3 linked regions of the Stegostoma tigrinum genome follow. The protein of the gene in region 1 interacts with the protein of each later gene in a biochemical or structural test. Links are inferred from orthologs where the notes say so. Each region holds a gene or a part of one and is shown on either strand. Other genes may lie near its edges. The genes, in order: hltf, ube2v2 and rad18.

Region 1 (7,537 bases):
TTCTACTTTTCCACAAACTTGACATTGTCCAAAATTCTGCTATCCCCATCCATATTCGTACAGAGTCCCACTCATCCATCACTCCAGGAAGCACGGATGTCGGGTCAAGCAACATGGCCGCTTAAAAATTCTTATCGCAATTCTCAAGAATCTCCATGGCCTGGCCCCTCCCTATCTCTATCATCAACTCCAGCCCCACAACCCTCTGGTGTACCTGCACTCATCTATTTCTGACCTCTTGAACCTATTATTTTAAATGGTGATACTTTCTTTTCAAACTTAACCTATTCGGAGATGTCAGTACTCTGGAGTAAGTGGGACTCGAACCAGGGTCGACTCGACCAGAGATAAAGGACACCATCGCTGCACTACCATAGCCCCTCCTCCCTCAATTTTAATTGGTCCACAATAGGTAGAAGTGCCTTTAGCTGTCTAAGTTTGACCATTTCTTCAGTAACCTGCCCATTACTCTTCTTCCCTTCCATCCACTGAGACACTCCTTAAAATCTACTGCTTTGGTCATCTGGCCCTATGTTGGTTTATGGGGCTAAGTATCTTTAAAATACTCCCACGACGCAACTTAGGTCTTTTTGCTGTGGGAGAGGTATTATATAAATGTACTTTTAGGTTTTTGAATCCCAACTGTTAAATCAATAATAAATAGGTAACTGAAGGTATGGCAAATTGAAGATTTAAACGCAGCTATTTAATATTACGCTAGATTGGAGGGACAAGTCTTACCACTCCTGTATAATAACGCATCCCAACCACATTCCCACGGAGGTTTCCAAATAAAACAGAATCCAGATCCTCATCTGGTGACGCAGTGTCATCTGTTAACGAACGATTTATCATCTGAGATAATGACTCTTCAGGATCCGGAGCAAATAGAAAACTGCCATCAGAAAACTGGGATGCAGTTCGTCCACCCAGATACTGGGAATTAGTCCAATTCCGCCAGAACAACATGCTGCGGGAACAAAAGAAAACCATGATTTGTAACCCTCCTCGAGAGAAATGACAAGGTATTTAAACTGACGGAAAACTCTTCTGTCCTCGAGCCTAGCAAATCTTTGTTGCTGTGCCCATCATAAACTCTCAGTTTTAAGAGCTCCTGCAAGATTAAAGAAACAGATTCCCACATATGTTTGCTTTGGAAATGCTGCATGATCCCTCACAGTAGAATGACATCTCTGAGCACACACTGTAATCAGCAAGTGGTGGCACCTATCTGACAGCTTGAGTTAGTCTTGCTTTACACATCATCTGGAAGCACAGAGCATTTTACACTTTACAAGAGAAAAAATAAACGAAGGTGCTCTGCTGTGACTTCAAATAAACCTGTTGGACTATAACTTGGAGTCGTGTGACTTCTGACTTCGTCCAAGAAAGAAAAATGGAGGGTTAAAAAACGTCTTTGTTATACTGCTTAATGGAGTGAAATTCAGCCGTTCAAAATTAGCACTTCAAGTAAGAAACTGCTACCTACTTACACTCTCCCTAATAGCATTAGAACACAATTAGCACATTGATGTAATTAGACAGAAATAGTGGAGAAACTCAGCAGGTCTGGCAGCATCTGAAGACAGAAAGAGAGTTAACATTTTGGGTTCAGTGACCCATCTTCAGAACTGGCATGTAGAATTTAGCATGCAGGTAGTTTACACAGATTGCATAACCATTATTCAGCCATGTTTTGGCATAGCATGGTATCCTGCAGATAAAACCCATTTTGCCAGGCAGTCTTACTAGTGCCTCACATACCTAGGCACGGAAAAGCTTATGTAGGAAGGGTCACCGGGCCCTAAACGTTAACTCTGACTTTTTCCTTCACAGGTGCTGCCAGATCTGCTGAGCTTTTCCAGCAATTTCTGTTTTCGTTCCTGATTTACAGCATCCGCAGTTCTTTCAGTTTTTTTTAAGTTATGTAGGTAGGTGGTCCACCGTGGAGCAGATTATCATAAACCCATCACTAGTTAACACAAGTTTTACTTGACTATTTTTCACTAAACGGACCCGATAATGTTAGCAGATTCGAACACTTTTGCTAAACAGAGACCTCCCTGAACAGTATATTTTGTTCCCTTTGAATTTGCATCTTTGACCCAGCGCCTGGATTTGATGCAGATAACAGACCGGGGAGTAAAAGGCTCCTGACTAAAAAGCAACAACATATTGAGGCTGGGAGTGACGATGAACGCTGTGTTGGTGGGTGTTTTTTCTGGAAATGTTGTCATGCACTCAAGAAAAAAACACAACAACAAAATCTCCCCTTGGCTGTGGCTGAGTATGTCAGGCCCCAAAAACAAGGCTTGCTGTTGGTGAGTCATTCTCTCCATGCCGCCTGCAGCCAGCCCCTGCTCCTGACATTTACCTGAGACTACAAACCTTTTATGCAAAAATAGGACGGCATGATGTGAAGGCAGATTGCTTTGAGCTTCCAGCACTGCATTTCTAGCCAGCGCTCTAGGTTTTGTGCAGAGCTCTGCAATAAAGCCTTCTCCAAACACTTTTCTTTTGCTGCTCTTAAACCGCAACGCGCGCAGAAAAGCTTTATTCTACCTCTGCAAATAATCTTCAGACCAAAATCAAATCTTCCCTCCTGCCAGTGACTTGCAAAGGGTATCTTTCGTATAAAAACAAAGGCCAAACATAAAGCCCGGCCACTCCACAAACCCAGCTCCTTTCACTTTCGCCCTGGCTGGCGCGGTTCCTGCTGATTGACACGGCTCTCAGCCACACAGAGCAGCCCTTCACCAGGCAGCAACGTATCAGGGCAAGGAGTGGGTGGGACACTCACCCATGGACGAGATACAACCTCTCGATACATTGTGGCGGCTGACCAGCTAGTGATCCCCATTCATGAAGACAGCATGGTACTATTCGTACAGGTGGTGCAGTGGCAGTGTCCCTACCTCTGAGCCAGGGCAAAGTCAGAAGTCACACGACACCAGGTCATGGTCCAACAGGTTTATCCGAAATCGCAAGCTTTCGAGGCATTGCCCCGACTTCACCTGACGAAGGAACAGCGCTTCAAACTTTGTGATCTCAAATGGAGAGAGTAGGAACTGCTGATGCTGGAGAATCTGAGATAACAAGGTGTAGAACTGAATGAACACAGGAGGCCAAGCAGTATCAGAGGAGCAGGAAAGCTGACGTTTCGGGTCAGGACTGAAGGGTCTTAAGGGTCCTGACGTGAAACATCAAGCCTTCCTGCTCCTCTGATGCTGCTTGGCCTGCTGTGTTCATCCAGCCTCACACCGTGGTTTCAAGTAGATTTGTTGGACTATAACTTGGTGTCGTGTCACTTCTGACTTTGTCTACCCCGGTTCAAAACCAAAACCAGCACCTCCACGTCTGAGCCAGAAGGCCTGGGTTCAAGTCTCACCTGTGCCAGAGGTGTGTAATGACATCTCTAAACAGGTTGATTGAGAAATGTTTAGATTTTCTTTTAAATTAACTAGTTCAGGGATGTTAGTACATACCTCTGGAGCAGGTGGGAATTAAACCCAGCCCTCATTAACCCAGGGGTAGGGACATTAGCATTGTGCCCCAAGAACCCCTCACCCAGAGGTAGGGGCATTACTAATATGCCTCAAGAAACCCCTTACTCAGAGACATTGACATTAGCATTGTGCACAAGAGCCCCTAACTCACAGGTAGGGACAATACCAATATGCCACAAGAACCCACTAACTCAAAGAGAGCAACATTAGCATTGTGCCACAACAGCTCCTAACCCAGAGTAGGGACATTACTAATAATGCCTTAAGAGCCCCCCCCCCCAGCTCAGAGGTAGGGACACTACAAGAGCCCGTAATTTTGGAGATATTACATTTGTTCTTTGCTTCCAGCTGTCCCCTAATTAACAGAGATGTTATGACACACTTCTGGATCTGGTGAGATTTGAACCCAAGCCTTCTAACTCAAAGGTAGAGACATTACTATTGTGCAAGAACAGGTCCCCAGTTCAGAGGTAGGGATATGTCTATTACATCAAAAGAGCCCTTAAAATTGGAAATATTACTTTTGATCTAAATTCAGTTCTGAGGAAGGCATACCGGACTTGAAAAGTTAACTCTGGTTTGTCCTGTATAAAAACAAGCAAAGCTGGAAATATTCTGCTGGCGCAGCAGACAGAAACAAGAATTTCAATGTGCTTCAGATCTGCAACTTTTCATAAAATGTTAACTCATGTTTCCCTCAATCTGCAGATACTGCTTTGTTGAGCATCTCTTGCAATTTCTGTTATTACTTCAGATTTCCAGCGTGTGTCACTTTCATATTTTAGATATTAATTTTATTTAATCTCAGGGATCTTATTTCTCCTGCTCCATGCTGCAGAATGCCCTGGACGTTTTTCCCAATGTCATTTTTAGGCACACAAGCAGAGATAAAAACCGATTCTGATTTCCACAAGTGGGTTCCAATTCGTTCATCAAAGTTTAAAATACTCTTGTTCAACATAATGGTGGTTGAATTACACCTGAGTTCAGTAAACACTCTCATTAACACAATTAACAAATTGGGTCACCTTACCTCAACTGGTAATGTTATTGCTCCCTGATAAATTTTACTTTTTTGTACGCTGTTTGACATTTTTGATACACTAGTGCCTGTTGAAATTTAACTAATTTTGAGTTATATTTACTCCAAGAATTTGCCTTTATTTGCGCTAATTGTCATTGGATATTTCCAATCAATTTCCTATCAACAGGCCCATGAATAACAGTAACCTAGCATGGTGGGAAAATTGCTCAGTTGTGTGTGATAGGACTTCAGGGTGTAAAAATAAAAGCACACTAGCAGCTTAAAGCAGCCAGTATTGCAGATAGTGCAAGGTCTTTCATTCAAGTGACAGCTTGTTTGTCATTCAAATAGGTACAGGAGTACTTGCAATGCTGAATAAACGACATCTCTTCCCAAAAAGAGAAGAGAATTCATAGATTATAGACAAACCAAGTGTACCGGAAGCTGGATATTTAAAGGTCTTGAGTAGATTGCAGCTCAATGCTGTGGTTGGTTGGCTCACCGAGCTGGTTCGTTAATTTGCAGATGTTTCATTACCCCGCTGGGTAACATCTTCAGTGCAGCCTCCGACAAAGTATTGTTGTGTCTTTCCTCCTGTTATTTAAACTCTGGGGTCCATTGGAGTTGATTACCTCATTTCTGGTTTTTCTTTGCAGTGATGCGCTTCTAGAGTCTAATTCTAGATGTTTATTGAGTACCCATTATGGACAGGGCCAACGTAATATACAAGATTTCATGCAAGGGCTGTGACAAACATTACATTGGACAGACAGGAAGGAAACTGGCTATGAGAATACATGAACACCAAGCAACAACAAAAAAAACACAACCAATACTCACTCGTCTCCATACATGCAGACAAGGAAAACCACCAGTTTGATGGGAAAATGTCAGGATCCTAGGACAAGCCAAACAAGAAGGCCATCAATAAGCACACAGAATTGGACCCTATGTACACACCACTGCAAAGAAAAACCTGAGGTGAGGTAATCAACTCCAGCGGTCCCCAGAGTTTAAATATTTAAGTGGGAAAACATAACACTTCATCGGAGGCTGTACTGATGATGCTATCCAGCAGGCTAATGAAACATCTGTGATTTAACAAACCAACCACAACAGGAAGCTGGGATAGATTGTGAAGTTTTTTTTTACATGGTTTGGACTTTCAAACCCAAACTTCCATCACAAATACAGGAAATGCTGGCAGTCAAGGTGCCAGAAAGTCATATCGATACTTCTTCAATACACAACCCTCGGGCTGGCTGTAAGCGGGTTTCCGCCCAGAGCTTTGTCACCTCTACGGTCTTGGCTTCCACTGTTCTCTGTTGTCTGTCAGGCCCAATTTCTCCAGCTATGGGTCAATCTAAAATGACCAATTTTGGGCCCGTGGTCATGATCACAAAAGGGAATTGGAACTTTAAAAAACCTTGAATTTTCAAAGAGAGAAGGAGATCAAAAAGCATGATCTGGATAGAGTGAAGCTTATTGTAAAAGGAGGGAAGAACAGATAGTCGCTCAGAGAATAATTCTGATACCTATGAAGGATTTGATTTTACCGTAAATCTGGTGTGGTGCCTAAATTCACTGATGCTGGTTTTAAATACATTTCACATCATTTTAAAAGATTGCTGGGAAGCTGAAATGGTCGAACCATATTTGGACCTTAATCTTCTTGGCTGTTCTTAAGTTTTTATTCATACTTCATCCAGCATAATTGCCTATCGATTTCACTTGACAAAGGAGCAGCATTCTGAAAGCTTGTGATTTTAAATAAATCTGTTGGACTATAACCTGGCATCATGAGATTTCTGACATTGTTCACCCCTGTCCAACATCCATGTCCCTACATCATCTCAATTGTAAGAGCTATTATGGATGGAGAATAAATGCCAGTCTGCACCACAAAACATGAACAAAAACATCTATTAATAATTGCTTACAGAACTCAAGGATTTTTAAAAAAGAGACTCAGAGCCAAAGCTATTTGTCTTTCACTGATTAGGACTGGTACACAAGATACCAAAAGGAACATCAATTTATACTACTTCTATAAAAGCTTTTGTTTATATTTCTATACTTGTATAAAGAGAGTGTTGATTGGTTGCATCTTAGTGGGTGTGGACATGCAGCAGGAAATGTTAACTGTCGATCTTTGTTAGCTAACTAAACTCATACCGGTAGATTTACTCAGACTGCCATGAGGAATGCAGGGAGGGGTTGTCGGTCTCCATTTTTCTCTTCAGTGAAAAATGTACAATATAAAAACAAATTCCTTTTCCTATTAAAAAAGGATCCAATCAATTTGTATATATTTTCTCAAGCTTTGTGAATTAATACTTGCTTTCTAATAAGGGTTTCCTGCATAATTTACAATCAAGTATTTTAATTATCAACACAAACATAAATATATCACCAAGATAACTGGGAAATTTATTTCCTGTAATTAAACATATTTCAAATGAGGCTTAAAGTAGACAATCCAGAACAGACATAAGTGTTCTAAATGAAGTCACACGTCCACACAGCTAGAATTTCAACATTAAAGCTGCAGTACTGGATTTTAGATGTTCACTTTTAGTAACAAGTTGCATCCATTTAAAACGGACTTTCTTGCAGATGTCAAACTTGGGCGGTCTTCACTAAATCCATCGGTCTGTCTTGATTAAAAAATGAAAATGAAATTGAATCAATTTAAAATTATCAGATAGTACATATTTACACTTTACACAACAAACTTCTGCTGCTTTATGTCTCCAGCTGAAGTAATGTTTTAATTCAATTGTTACTCCTTTTCATATCTATGGAAACAGTTTGTTTTCATTTCCTCTAACAAAACCCTTCAAATTCTGACAACTTCTAGTAAATCTACTTAACTAGAAGGAAACAGTATCTGCTTCTCACACCTCATCTCACATATCAATGTGAGGAAATGGCCTAATGGTATAAATACAGGACTGTTAATCCAAAGACAAAAGCAGAAGTTGCTAGAAAAGCTCAGTAGGTCTGG
Region 2 (6,929 bases), on another chromosome or scaffold:
ACACATTTATTTGAAATCACAAGTTTTTGGAGCATTGCTGTTTCATCAGCTGAATGTATTAGTTGTTGTTAGGGTATAGGGATGGCAGCCAAACTAAATCAGTCTCTGTATCACTGGATTCACAACATTGTGAAATTTTTTACTCAATGGCTCTCAATTGCTTAGTTGTTCCTAATCACACTTTACAAACAAATCTTGGACACCTAGGTTATCACTTAAAAGAAAACTGATAAATTTACTAAAAGTGTAACTTTAGCAGAACACAAACTGCCAAGCAATCTAGTATCAACAATCTAATCCCAATCTTATGAAAGGCATAGATAGAGTTGATAGCCAGAGACTATTTCCCAGGGCAGAAATGGCTAGCACGAGGGGTCATAGTTTTAAGCTGGTTGGTGGAAAGTATAGAGGGGATGTCAGAGGCGGGTTCTTTACACAGAGAGTTGTGAGAGCATGGAATGCGTTGCCAGCAGCAGTTGTGGAAGCAAGGTCATTGGGGTCATTTAAGAGACTGCTGGACATGCATATGGTCACAGAAATTTGAGGGTGCATACATGAGGATCAATGGTCGGCACAACATTGTGGGCTGAAGGGCCTCTTCTGTGCTGTACTGTTCTATGTTCTATAAGGCGCATTGTCACACACAGCAATAAGGAATAAACTTTAAAAAAAACTGTAATTTGCCAGTTCAATTTCTTTCAACAACGAATACCAAGCATTTATTAATTCCTTGAGTAGAGTTATACAGAATGGAAACAAACCCTTTGGACTAACTTGCCCTCCTAAACTGATCTAGTCTTATTTGACCTAGATCCCTCTGAATCCTTTCTATTCATATGTCCATGCTGATGCCTTTTAAATGTAATTGTACCTGCCTCCCACTACTTCCTGTGGCAGCTCATTCCACTTATGCACCACCCTCTGCATGAAAGATGCCCTGCAGGTCCTTTTTGTATCTTTTCCCCATTACTTTAAAAGCATGTCCTCTAGTTTTGGACTCCCCCACCATAGGGAAAAACGTTATTCAGCCTCTCCTGCCCTTCATGATGACAGGTTGTGTTACAGACAATATAGTGTACATCTTTCTTGAATTCTGAGGTCACTGGTCTTAGAACTTGCAGCAAGTTTAAAAACTGGACAATAAGTGTAGAGATTGAAAGCAGCCCCAGTCCAGAAGCTTCTAAACCAAAACTGCCTCTTGTCCAAAAGCTCAGGCAGAATCATTTCATTAAAAACTGAAAGAACTGCAGATGTTGTAAATCAGAAATAAAAACAGATTGCTGGAAAAGCTAAGCAGGTCTGGCAGCATCACAGTTAATGAGAAATCACAGATAATGTTTTGAGTCTGGTGACCCTTCGTCAGAACAGTTTATTCTTTGATTTCCTGGTGGTTGACTGGCCACCCTAGTTCTCCCTTGATTGACCAATTCATCATTCAACCAGCTGCCAGTCCCTGAGCATAGTAACATTTCACTGCCAAATCATCCGTAGTGTCCTCAGAACAGTGATTAAACTGAATTATCTTAGCAGTTTCCAAAAGCAAACATTAGTCTTTTGTTCTCTGCTTGTTTTTAAGAGCAGTTTTAGAAGCTTCGGACCAGGGCTGTTTTCACTCTCTGTCCAGTTATTAGCTTGTCAAAAGTGGACGTTGGTCTTAGTGTTCAAAGTTCAATTGTCAACTGCAATACTCATTTACAAACCATCTAGTTTTATGACCCCTGGTTTTAAATCTCCCCATAACTGGAAACACTTTCTCCAATCTATATTAAGCCCTTTGTAACTTTAAAGACCTTTAATTGGTTACCCCTCAGCCTCTGTTTTCTAGAGAAAGGAGACCCAGACTATTCTGTCTTTTCTGATACAACTATGCTCTGCTATTGGGAAAACTGATTTTTTTCACCTTTTCCAGTGACTGTAAGTGGTGGTAGAACTCTAGACAGTACTGGAAGTTTGCTCAAATGAACCATAATCGTATTGAAGTTGTTTCTAAACGTGTCCCATTGCCACTGCTTGGACTGTGAATTTTATTTATCATTTGATCTTTCCAGCCCTCCACCTTATCTCAAATCTTCTTGGTTTTTTCCTCTTTTATTGGATGATTGATTTGCCCATATCCATGACTTTAGTTTTGTCCTTTATACAACACATCAGTCAAATATGACCTTAATCTCAAGGACAGTAATTTTCACCTCCCCTCTGGAATTTGTCTCTTTTGTTCATGCATGAATTAAGGTTGTAATGAGCTGAGTGGCCCAAATGGAACCTGAAATGGGAGCCAGTGAGCAGGTTATTGCTAAACAGGTTCTGTGTGATACCACTGTTGCTGACACTTTCCTGATGATTGAGTGGAGTTGAGGAGGTAATCAACCAGCTCGGATATGCTTTTTGTGTATAGGATGTACCCGGGCAATTTTACACATTATTGGGTCAGCTTGTCCAGAGATGCTCTAAGTTCTGGAGCACAAGTCTTTGGTACTAGCACCAGAATGTTGTTAGTGCCAAAATCAGTTGAAGTTTCCCTGAGTCTCCACCTGTTTCTTCATATTAAGTGGAATAAATCAAATTGGCTAAAGCCTGATATCTGTGATGCTAGGGAAGAGGCCGACATAGATCACCCACTTCTGGCTGAAGAGTCTTGTGAATGGTTCAGCCTTGTCTTTTGCCTGACAAATCGGGTTCTCCCATTATTGTGAACAGGGATATCCGTGGACCCTCCTCCAATGAGTTAATTGTCTACCAACACTGACCACTGTCTGTGACAGCACTGTAAAGCTTAGATCTGATCTGGTGTTGTGGAATCACTAACTTTATCTATCACTTGCCACTTACGCTGTTTGACCCACAAGTAGTCCTGTTTTGAGGCTTCACCAGGTTGACACCTCATTTTCACGTATGCCTGGTGTTCTCCTCGCATGTTTTCCTGCAATCTTCTTTGGATCCCTTCACTTGAATGCTTAAGTGGGGGGTGGGAAGATATGACAAGTTGCAGATTATGTTGGAGAATGATTCTGTTGCTGCTGCTGGCCAACTATACCTCACAGATTCATTCAAACTCAGTTCTATTTCGAATGGTTATAGGGTATTCTTAACATGAAGTCCGGACTTCGTCACAAAGACAGTATAATAAACTCTCTTACTGATATTGTTGTACTAGACAAATATATCTGCAGCAAGTAGAATCGTGACGATGATGTGGAGTATGTTTTTCCTTGTCTGTGCAATTGTTTACCAAAGAAGGTAGTTGTGAAGGATCAATTAATTACATTCAAGGCTGAGATAGACGTTTAATCAGTAAGGAACTCAACGCTAATGGGGATAAAGTAGGAAAGTGGAGTTGAGTATTATCACCAACAATAGTTTCATTGAATCACACATCAGTTCAGATGGGCCACTATGGACAATCCTGCTCTGGCATCTTATGGTCTCATTAATTAGCCTATACATCTATCCTTGTGTTGTACTGTCTTGTTATGCCAGTTGAAAAGCCAAGTCTCATTGTGAAATTGGATAATGCTTGACTCTCACCCCTCAGTCTTTCTCCCTCTCCGTATTTCAGTATCCTATGTATCTGCTGAAGGGAAATATTACATGAAAATAACATTACATGAAAATTCCCCTTCATGATTTTTTTCCAATTTTGAGCACAGCGGTGTTCTGAGGATTGATTTTCAATTACTGGAGACTCCAGGAGGGTTAGATGATAAGTTTTGAAGAGAATGAGAAAGATTCTAAAGTACTTGACGATGGAGTTGTGCCGACTTTATGAAGGAGGAGGTGAGTATGAACACTACAGGTGTGGAGATTACACATTGTCCGTGAGCGAAGCAGCAGGAAAGCAGACGCACATGCGCACGTGGTGCCACACCAGACCGGAAGTGACGAGAGAGCGGCCGAGTCGGCGCCGGTTCCTTTCGTTTGGAGCAAGATGACAGGCTGCCGAGGTCTGAGTGAGCTGCGGGTGTCCGGGGGGGGAGAGGGGAGGCTGAGGCCCCAGGTCCGAGTGATCCGGGAGGAAGGCGAGGAGCGCGGTTAGATACTGCCCTGGGTCACCCCGGCTCTTAGGCCGGGCTATGACCGGAAAGCCGCGGCCCACTCCGGTGGGATTGGAGGGGCGGGGGGTGTTCACTTTATGAGGGTTTGGGCCGGCCCGAGGAACCGTACCTGGGCGGCCTCCAGTTTGTGCTGTTTCCAGTCCCTCTGAACGGCAGTTGGTTTTTATTTCTGCCTGTTTGGCTGGTGGTGTGGCAGAGACTTTGTATATGACCTTTAAAATGTGTGTCTTTGGGAGCAGGGGTAGTTTTCTTGTTCAATGCGTTTGTGATTCATATAGTAGCCTGTATGTCCTTGTGTTATTTACATGAAAGTCTCTTTTAACTCGTGTCTTTCGAACCACATCTGAAGAAAATATTTTCCGTGTTGACTTTTCGTTTTGTGTTGTAGATTCTTTTTGTTTTTCTTCTATAAGGTGTCTTAGAGGTAGACTTTATTTACAAACTCCTGTGACAGCGATGTGCAATTTCCAAATGCAGCTGTGGCAAAGAGGAAGTTAGCTGAGTTATTCTTAGTCCGAACGTATTTGACAGCATTTTATTTTGAGCTGCTGTGTTTGATTTTTAGGATTCGGGAATTGAGAGCGAATAACTGACTATCATTTAATCGTAATGTTTCTCCTTTTCTTTGTTCGTTGTTATGGGGCATTTTGAGATTTATTGATATACGCATGATTCTCACAGATGATTGGGAACAAATGGTTTACCTCTGGTCAGCTTTGAGCAGTATGAAACGGTCAAATTTCATTTCGACTTTTTTTGAAAATGATACCTTTGTGATATATCTGTAGCGGCACCTCTTCAGTAGATTCGAACGTTTCTATTTGTATCGCCCACCAAACTGTTCAAGTTTCAAACGTTCTGCTAAATGATTCACTCTTTTGTCTAAGTAAAGAATGCATAGAACTGGCAAATAACGTATACTTTGACTTGAGTGCAGGATCACAAACTCGATAAAAGGCAGAGAAAAATATGTATTGGAACCATTGACATGGAACAAAAGTGACTTTCGAACAGCGTATTTGAAAAGAGATCACTTGCACAAAAAAATACAAGATAAGGGTTCATGGAGCTGGGGGTCATACACTAGCATGGTTGAAGGGTTGGGTAATGGGCAGGAAATATGGCTTTGGCATAAACGGGGTTTTTTCAAGTTGACAGACTGACTGCTGGTATGGCATGTGCCTGTGCTAAGCACTCACTACTTACAATCTGTGTTAATGATTTAGATGGAATCTGAGTGTAATATATTTAAAGTTGTTGACAGGAGAGTTTAGAGGTGGGAACGTAAACTGACCCAATACAAAGCGGCTGCAAAAATATAGTTTGAATAGGTAACAAAGTGGCAGATGAAAAATAAAAAAACAAAATAAAAAAGCAGCACCCAAATGTTTTTTGACATCATTGTAAAGGAAACTGGAATCTGAAAGTGAAAGCCTGCTCCATCAATACAGGGCATTGATGAGATCTCTCATGGGCTATTGCATATGGATTTGGAGTCCCTGTTTAAGTAGGAATATACTTGCATTTAACATAGTTCAGAAATCATTGATTAGGTTAATTCCTGGGTTAAAAAGGTTGTGTGTGAAAACATGAATTCGAATCATTTTAGCTCCCTTGAGCCCAACCATTATTACAAAGTTATGGCTAATCTGTTTGTTTCAACTTCCACATTCCCATTTATCCACAATCATCTTTGATTCATTTGCCTTACAAGAATCTACCTCTGCCTCAAAAGATATTCAATGATCTTCACTCCATCACTTTCTGAAGAAGGGAGCTTTGCATTTCCACACTTCTTTGAAGAAAAGTGCCCTCATCTGTCCTAAAAGACAGATGACTTAATTTTTAAAAAATACCTCCTAGTTCTGACTCATCAGAGGAAACATACCTCAAAAAGACTGTTCAGAATCTCGTAGCCTTCAATCAATTCAGCCGTTGCTCTTCTAAACTTTAGTTGAAACCAGTCCAATCTGCCCAACCTTTCCTTGTAAGACAACTCATTCATTCCAAGACCCAATCTAGTAAGCGATGTCTGAGCTATTTCTGATGCATTTACATTGTTCTTTAAATATGATACCAAAACTACTCTCAACTTTCACGAACAAAAACAAATTGCTCAGACGACTCAGCAGGAGAACCTAATGGTCTGGCAGCATCTGTGAAGAGAAAACAGAATTCATACTTGTGATCTAGTGATGTAGGTCCCATTCTGACGAAGGGTCACTGGACCCAAACCTCTAACTCTGCATCTCTCCAGATGCTGCCAGACCTGTTGAGTTTCTCTAGCAATTTGTTTTGGTTTCAGATTTCCAGTGAGGTTTTTGGTTTAGCTCAGTATTCAAGATCACCAGTTCCCTACATAACTGAAACAGAACATTCTTCTCTTCAAACAAGGATAGCATTTGATTAGTCTTACGTACTTTGCTGTACATGCATACCAAAGTTTTTGGCTCATGCATTTGGACCACAGGAAGAGGATTAGGCCATTCAAACCCTTGGGACTTACCATTCAGTGAGATGATAATTGATCTGCAGCTTACTTCCATGTATCTACCTTTGGCCAAAATCTTTTAATACCTTTGCCTAACAAAAATTACTCCAATTCAGACTTAAAATTAACATTTGATCCAATATCCACTGCTGTTTATGCATCCTTTGTGTATGGAAGTGCTTCCTAACGTCTCTCCTGAGTAGCCTGACCCTAGTTCTAGAATCCTCAAATAGTGGAAATACTTCATCTTCTGACTTGCCATTTCCCATTTATATCTTGAAAACTTTGTTCCAATAACCCTTTAATATTTCTAAATTCTAGAAACAAAGGCCAGATTTGTCCATAATCTCAAACTTAACCCTTGAAGCCCAGTTAACATTCTTGTA
Region 3 (7,407 bases), on another chromosome or scaffold:
TAACATTGTCAGTGCGCCTCCCATGAAGCATCGGTGTTCTGCCCCACCTGTTATTTCTATGTCTCAGTTTGCTGGGGTGGTTGGTATTACTTTCAGTTTTGTTTCTCGGTGGTTTGTACACAGGGACTAATTCAGTGTGTTTGTTAATGGAGTTCCGGTTGGAATTCCAGGTCTCTGGGAATTCCCTGGTGTGTCTCTGGCTTGTGCAACTATCAATGTGTTGTCCCATTTGAATTCGTATCCCTCGTTGTCCGTGTATGGCGTGACACTTGAGGGTTGGTCGTATCTCTTGGTGGCTAGTTGGTATTAATGTATCTATACAGTAAATTTTTTTCGGATTTGGCCCATGTGGTGTTTCTCACAGTCCTTGCATGGTACTTTGTATATTACCCCAGCTTGCTAGTTTTGGGTATGGAATCCTTCACGTTTGTCAGTGGCTGTTGTTGGGTGGTTGTCAGTTTATGGGCAGTTCTGATACCTGGGGGTCTGAGTAGTCTTGTGGGCTGCTCTGAAATGTCCCAGATGTATGAGAGGGTGATAAATGATTCTGGTCATGTTGTGTCTACCTGTTGTCACCTGTTTTGGAGGTAATGGTAATGTGCTTTTTGGGTATTTTTTTTAAGAGTTCATATATGTGTTCCTGTTCTGCTTCATGTAGCTCCTTCATGTAGGGTTGCTGCAATGTATTGTGGCTCACTTAAATAGTGTCCTGATGCAGCTCCGTTTGTGAATGTTGGGGTTGTTGCTAGTGTAAATGAGTATTTGGCCTGTATGTGTGGTCTTTCTATATACACTAATCTGGAGTTCCCCCTTGTTTTTGTGTTCTGCCATTATATGCAGGAAGGGTGGTTGATTGTTGCTCTCTTCTTCTTTCATGGATTTTGTCACAGGGAGGGTGTTGATTAAGTGTTCGTGGGTTTCTTCCAGTTTAGTATGCTTGATAATAATAACACCTACATTTGGGACCTAAAGTTTGGGTTATATAATGGTGAGCGCTGTCCATTCTAACCTTTGCATTACTGCTCCTGCAATCAGTCCTGACATTGGGGATCCCATTGGTGTTCCGTTGATTTGTTTGTATATGTTGTCATTGAAGGTAAAGTGGGTTGTGAGGCACAGATCCAGTAGTTTCATGGTGGTGTCCTCATTGATGTTGTTGGTGTCCTGGGTTGCCTGCTTACTTGATTCATCCAGCAGTGTGGCAATTGTTTCTTTGGCTAGGTCGATGTTTATGGATGTAAATAGTGCTGTTATGTTGGACAATATCATCATCTCATACTCATCTATCCTGGTGACCTTCGAGATGTTGAAGAATTCTTGGGATGAGTAAATGAGAGGGTATTGTTGTCCACTAAGTATTTCAAGTCTATATGTTGGTGTACCTGGCAGTGACGGGTCTGAGGGGGACCCCCGGCTTGTGTACCTTGGTTGAATCTGTAGTATCGGGGTGTGTTGGATCCCTCTGGCTTCATTTTTTTGGTTGTGTGTCTTGCTGATGTCTCCTGAGTTGGATAAGTTCTTCAGGTTTGGTGTAATCTGGTTTCCTAATTGTGGTAACCAGGTGTTGAGCTGGATGAACACAGCAGGCCAAGCAGCAACAGAGGAACAGGAAGGTTGACGTTTCAGGCCTAGACCCTTCTTCAGAAATGGCCCAAAACGTCAGCCTTTCTGCTCCTCTGATGCTGTTTGGCCTGCTGTGTTCATCCAGCTCTACATCTTGTTATCTCAGACTGTCCAGCATCTGCAGTTCCTCCTACCTCCTAATTGTGGTGGCAGTTCTGTCGCCATCTGTTGATAGGTGTTGGTATCTGCTAGTAATGCATTAACTTTCTCGATGTATTGAGTTGTATTAAAGATTACTGTCATGCATCCTTTGTCTGCTGGTAAGATTACAATGTTCCTGCCTTTCTTGAGCCTTTCCAGGGCTTTCCTCTCTTGTGTGTTCCATTTTCCTTTTTGTTCAGGGTTGGGACTCTTGTCTGTCTGACAGTCTGTTGTATTTTTTCTGTGAGTCCGTTGTTCTTTAGTGTTGATTCCAGCCCAGCCAGGAAGCCAGTCTTTTTTGGCATCTCTGTAGTTATGTTTCAGTCCACGTACTAGGACGGTCTTCTCAGTATCTGTAAATAGTTGGTCTGAGATGTTCTTAACCCATGAATCTGTTGTCTGTGTATTGATGTAGGTGATTTTGGACAGTTTTTCTTGAAGGGCTATTCTTCGCTTTATTCTGATCTTTTGTTGTTGTGTGCTGATGGGATGGAAATGTTGATTGGCCATTCTCCTTCAATTCATTTTTTGAATTTAGGACTGTGCATAGTAGCAGATGGCAATAATTCCAAAATCAAGCATGGTGACCAATGAATGGGAGTGAGGCTTCACACAGTACCCAATTCAGGAGAATGAAGGTTGTACAGCTGCTCATGTAGTGAAGGTTGTTTGATGCCCAGTACTGGGGAAATGAAAACTGTAAGGTGCCCTATACAAGAAATTAAGATTGCATGGTACTCAGTGCAGGGAATTGAAGATTGCATAGTGCACAAACAGTCAGTGAAGTTTGCAGGGTGCCAAACTGGGGAGTTGAGCTTGCACAGTGAGGATTGTGGGTAGTGAATGTTCCATACTGCCCAATGCAGGGGGACAAAGGCTGCATGTTGCCCAGTGCAGGTGTGTGAATATTGTACAGAGCCCAATGCAAGGAGTCACAGTTGCATGGTGATCAATGCAAGGAAATAAAATTTGGAAGGTGGACAGAACAGGGAAGTGAAAGTTGCATAGCACTGGTAGTCAAGCTTGCATAGTGGTGATTATGTGCAGTGCAGTGTCGTGAAGGTACCCACTTGGGAAGCAAAGGATACAAGATGTAAAAGTGGACAGCCAAAGTTACACAATGATCCCAGACATGAAGGTTATACGCTGCCAAGTGCAGGAAGTGAAGATTGCACAGAGCCCAATGCAAAGGGATGAAAGTTGCACATTGACTAAGTAAGGGAGTGGAGCTTGCACAGTACCCAATCTAAAAAAAACCTGAAGATTGCCCCGTGCAAGATGTGAAGATTGAATGACGCCAACGTGGGCAAATAAGGTTGCACTATGGCAATCGTGAGCAGTGAAGTTTACATGCTGCGCAGTGCAGTGAAAGGTTGCATAGTGTCCGGTGTGGGGAGAAAAGCTTTCAGCGTTTAGGAGCGAAAGTTGCAGATTGTACGGTGCATTGTTTAAGCGATGCAAGTTTGAAGAGTACACTGTTTGGGGAACAAAATGTTAGGCTGGATGAACACAGCAGGCCCAGCAGCATCTCAGAGCACAAAAGCTGACGTTTTGGGCCTAGACCCTTCATCAGAGAGGTTTAGGCCCAAAACGTCAGCTTTTGTGCTCCTGAGATGCTGCTGGGCCTGCTGTGTTCATCCAGCCTCACATTTTGTTGTCTTGGATTCTCCAGCATCTGCAGTTCCCATTAACACTCTTTGGGGAATGCAGTTTTGCATGGTGCCAGGTTTCAGAGTTGCAATTAGAAGGATGCAGTTTGGGGGATCGGGGTTTAGTTCGCATGATGTGGGGGGGAGGTTTCGGGGTGGGGGCAGTTTTCATGGTTTGATGGGGGTGTAGTTTACATGATGCAGGGGAGATTTCAGGGGAGTTTGCATGGTTTGATGGGGGAGCTGTAGTTTGCATGATGCAGGGGTTATTGGGGGAGTTTGCATGGTTTGATGGCTGGTGTAGTTTGCATGATGCAGAGGGCTTCAGGGGAGTTTGCATGGTTTGATGGGGGCTGCAGTTTGCATGGTGCAGTGGGCTTTGGGGGAAGTTTGCATGGTTTGAAGGGGGTGTAGTTTGCATGATGCAGGAGGTTTCGAGGGAGTTCGCATGGTTTGATTTGGGGGCTATAGCTTGCATGATGCAGGAGTTATTGGGGAGTTTGCATGATTCAGGGGTGTTTGCATGGTTTAATGGGAGAGTTTTGGGGTGGGGGCAGTTTGCTTGGTTTGATGGGGAGTGTAGTTTGCATCATGCAGGGGGGTTTCAGGGGAGTTTGCATGGTTTGATTGACGCTGTCTAGTTTTCATGATGCAGGGGAGTTTTGGGGGAGGTCCAATTTACATGATGCAGGGGGTGGTTTCAGGGTGTTTGCATGGTTTGATAGCGGAGTGCAGTTTGCATGATGCGGGGTTTATTGGGAGAGTTTGCATGGTTTGATGGGGGAAGCTGCTGCAGTTTGTCGGGGGTACGGATTGGAGGGTGCAGCGCGCCGTCTGTCGGGAAGCTGGGGAGGGCGGCGTAGGGTGCAGGCTATTCTGGGAATCGGGATCCCCCGTGGCAACTAACCGGAAAGCGCTCGCGCTCAGCTGCTGATGACGTGCTTCCGGCTGTAGCCAGCGCGCGCGTTTTGCTCTGAATTCGAGAAAAATGTGGGAGAGACTGAAGGTGAGAGAGAGGGAGAGATTGAAACTGAGGGAGGGAACGACAGAGGAAGGGGTGCCCCGTGCTGAATGCCAGTGCGGGAAAGACTTAGGATGAGAAAGAGAGTATGGGGGGGGGAAGGTGTTTGTGGATGAGGATGGTTAACTGACCTATTTTCTGATGTAACAACAACTGAAGTTCAGACAAGATTTATACTGATTAATTGTGAGGTGCTGAGTGGATTGCGCGCGCTTTCCATTTTGATCCCATAGGATCTGTGTTCTGCTCTTAGTCAGTACAGTAAAATGATTAGCGGAAATCTTGATTACCCATCTCCACAGGCCTACACTTGATTTGGATTGGCAATGTATAGTCTGGGTTAAGGTGACAACTCTGTTTAGGATGGCAAGTTTGGACTTGACGAATCGTCTTTCTCTTCCAGGCCATGGATAACCTCTTACGCTGTGGTATCTGTTTTGAATACTTCAATATTGCCATGATGATCCCTCACTGTTCGCATAATTGTAAGTATTCTGCATGCCACCATCCTAATACTGCTGGCTGAGATGTTTTCACCAGTGCAGCACATTTCTGTAGAGTTGTGAAAGAAGTTTTAAACTGCTCCCTGTGTAACATGTAACGAGCATTGATTTAGGCAGGTATGTTTCAGATGATTGTTGGTGTGCACTGTGGCTGCAGATGGCCTACGATGACTGTATGTGTGTGGGACAAGACAGACTTGTGTGATATAATGCAACAGTAGACGTGGCAGGCAGCACCAATAAGATCTGAGCAGAAACAGTTGGCTGAATTTGGCTATGTCAGAGTTGCGTTGAGTTTTGCCTTTTGGAGGGTTACTCGTCATGGAACCTTGTGAGATTTCTCACTGTCTTACAAAGCTGCCTTGTCAACCACCTACCCTGCTCCTTTGCCATTTTCCAATTTCCACCCCAAACTTGCCGCCCGCTGTTTCCACAGCAACTTGCTACTCGGTGGACTTCCACTGACACTCCAGCATTGCTGGTGCCTGCACCGTCTCTAAAGGACCAGACAAGTATTTGACTGTCTCTGGCAGTGCAATGGCACAGCAGCTACACTGCTCTTGGCACAAGGCTGGCATGGCTGACCCTCCCTTGTACATCGACAATCTGTCATCTCTGGCGCTGCTTAACTACCATGCTACACACTTTTCCTGCCCGTAGCTACCTCCTGCCTGAATGCCATGACTAACGTCAGTGTTGCCCTACTCTGGTGCCCACAGTAGAACTGAATCTTGGCATTGCCCAGTTGTGAAACGTCACAAACAGGCGAGCAACTGGATGAATACAAAGTCAAACCCTGAGCTTTAATAGAGTCATTATTTACAAAAAGCAAAAGGGGACAAAACTGAAGGCTGAGCTCCTACGATGCCAACCAGTTTTCAACAATATGACCAAAATAGTTTGAAATTGGCCATTGTCTAATTCACCCAACTTTCGTCTACTGGAACTAGGTGTCAGGCAGGTTCTGTCTGGCTCGTTACACCAAACGCAGCTGAGCTCCATCATGGAGAGCATCAGTTTCCTACTCCCCCATGTTGTCCTCTTCAGAAGGTTTCACCTATTCCCCCAGTTCCTCAGCATCCAGCTTATGGCCTTGTTCTGGTCTTGTTGCCCACTGCAGTTGTGCAGAGCGCAGGATGATGGGACAGACTCTGTTTGGACTAGACTGGAGAGTTATTCCCTGACTGGTCCAAGCAGCAGAACCACCTTTTCAGTAGCTCCACCTTTTGATCCACGGTGGGGAAATGCAGGCAGCATTGTATCGGAGCTTGGCCGTCATTGGTGCAATTCCCTGCAGATGATGGCTGCATACACTGCACCCAATAATGAGCGACATATCTCCACCATCTATCCACTTTCAGGTTTAATCTGGGCAGCAACTTGATGAGTGGTTACCCCATGTCATTGACAAGGAAATATCTGCAGCTGCTCCGACACCTAGCCAACTCTGCACCCCCATTAAACACTCAACTAAACACAGCATTCAGACCACAGCATTGTCACACAAACATGACAGACGACGCAATGTGTGCCTCGCACCCAGGACCTGTGGAGGTAGCGTGAGCAGTTGTTCCCTTCAGCCAGTATGGACATTTCATGATAACACTGCAGCTACTTCCATATCATTCAGATGCCCAAGTTCAGCCAGTGATCACCAATGGGATGTTACAATTTACCTTTGACCAACATCTGACCCCTAAGCATCCTCAGTCTGAACGCACTGCAGTTGGACAACAATGGTTGCTAATCCATTAAAGCAACATTCTGTAGCGACAACAACATGAAGCAGGTGCCCACAAGGATAGGGGGGTCCAGCAAATGATGCTCTCCGCCGACCCTAGAATTTTCTTGTATTGAGATAAGGGAAAGTGAAGGCAGAGAAGGAAGATTGCGCTGGACACCATCAGCACGGGGCTTCCCTAAGTCACTAGGTTACATCCCCGAAGAAGTGTTTGGCAAACACAAAAAAACTTCATAATATGAGGGAAAGGTAGTATGGAGGCTGAGAGATGTTAAAAACTCAGAAAACTACCATTTTACTATCATGGAGTTAGTTAGTGAAGCGAGTTTGAAACGCTTGATGGTTTGATGGTATGGTGAGTCAGTGCTCCTGCTCTGCGAGATATAATGAACAGTTCACTTTTAGTCACAGCAGGGTACAACATTTCTTTTGAGGGCACCTCTTGATCGTTACTGTTTGTTTTTCTGGGGTTACTTCTTGATTTTCAGAAGTTGCATTTTCATTCTCATTAAATTATTTGGACTTAGAATTAGAACAATTCAGCAATATTCTCAATAGTCGTCAACCCTGTGAAACTTAAACCCATAATGCAGAAGGAAAACATTAAATAACACTGAAATTAAATATGCCCAAGACAACAGACGTAAGTTAGCAATGGAAATAATTGATGCCCACTTCAGCCACACAACCATAACCTAAAGCAGACCTATTGTAGATTAGAGAGGTTAG

What was found.
Region 2: the proteins of hltf (region 1) and ube2v2 form a complex in vitro, tested with the Homo sapiens proteins (2 studies listed by BioGRID). The link is inferred for Stegostoma tigrinum from reciprocal best matches to the Homo sapiens genes HLTF and UBE2V2.
Region 3: the proteins of hltf (region 1) and rad18 form a complex in vitro, tested with the Homo sapiens proteins (2 studies listed by BioGRID). The link is inferred for Stegostoma tigrinum from reciprocal best matches to the Homo sapiens genes HLTF and RAD18.

What each region holds. Positions count from the first base shown.
Region 1 is NC_081367.1:68,339,056-68,346,592, reverse strand, and holds the start of hltf (helicase-like transcription factor), read right to left. Parts: upstream 3,054-7,537; 5' UTR 2,960-3,053; coding exon 2,916-2,959; intron 2,908-2,915; exon of another isoform or gene 2,801-2,907; intron 2,704-2,800; exon of another isoform or gene 2,563-2,703; intron 2,127-2,562; exon of another isoform or gene 2,017-2,126; intron 971-2,016; coding exon 742-970; intron 1-741. UniProt on the Homo sapiens protein: Has both helicase and E3 ubiquitin ligase activities. Possesses intrinsic ATP-dependent nucleosome-remodeling activity; This activity may be required for transcriptional activation or repression of specific target promoters.
Region 2 is NC_081358.1:72,176,521-72,183,449, reverse strand, and holds the start of ube2v2 (ubiquitin-conjugating enzyme E2 variant 2), read left to right. Parts: upstream 1-3,858; 5' UTR 3,859-3,925; coding exon 3,926-3,941; intron 3,942-6,929. UniProt on the Homo sapiens protein: Has no ubiquitin ligase activity on its own. The UBE2V2/UBE2N heterodimer catalyzes the synthesis of non-canonical poly-ubiquitin chains that are linked through 'Lys-63'. This type of poly-ubiquitination does not lead to protein degradation by the proteasome.
Region 3 is NC_081364.1:59,459,663-59,467,069, forward strand, and holds the start of rad18 (E3 ubiquitin-protein ligase RAD18), read left to right. Parts: upstream 1-4,357; 5' UTR 4,358-4,401; coding exon 4,402-4,419; intron 4,420-4,837; coding exon 4,838-4,919; intron 4,920-7,407. UniProt on the Homo sapiens protein: E3 ubiquitin-protein ligase involved in postreplication repair of UV-damaged DNA. Postreplication repair functions in gap-filling of a daughter strand on replication of damaged DNA.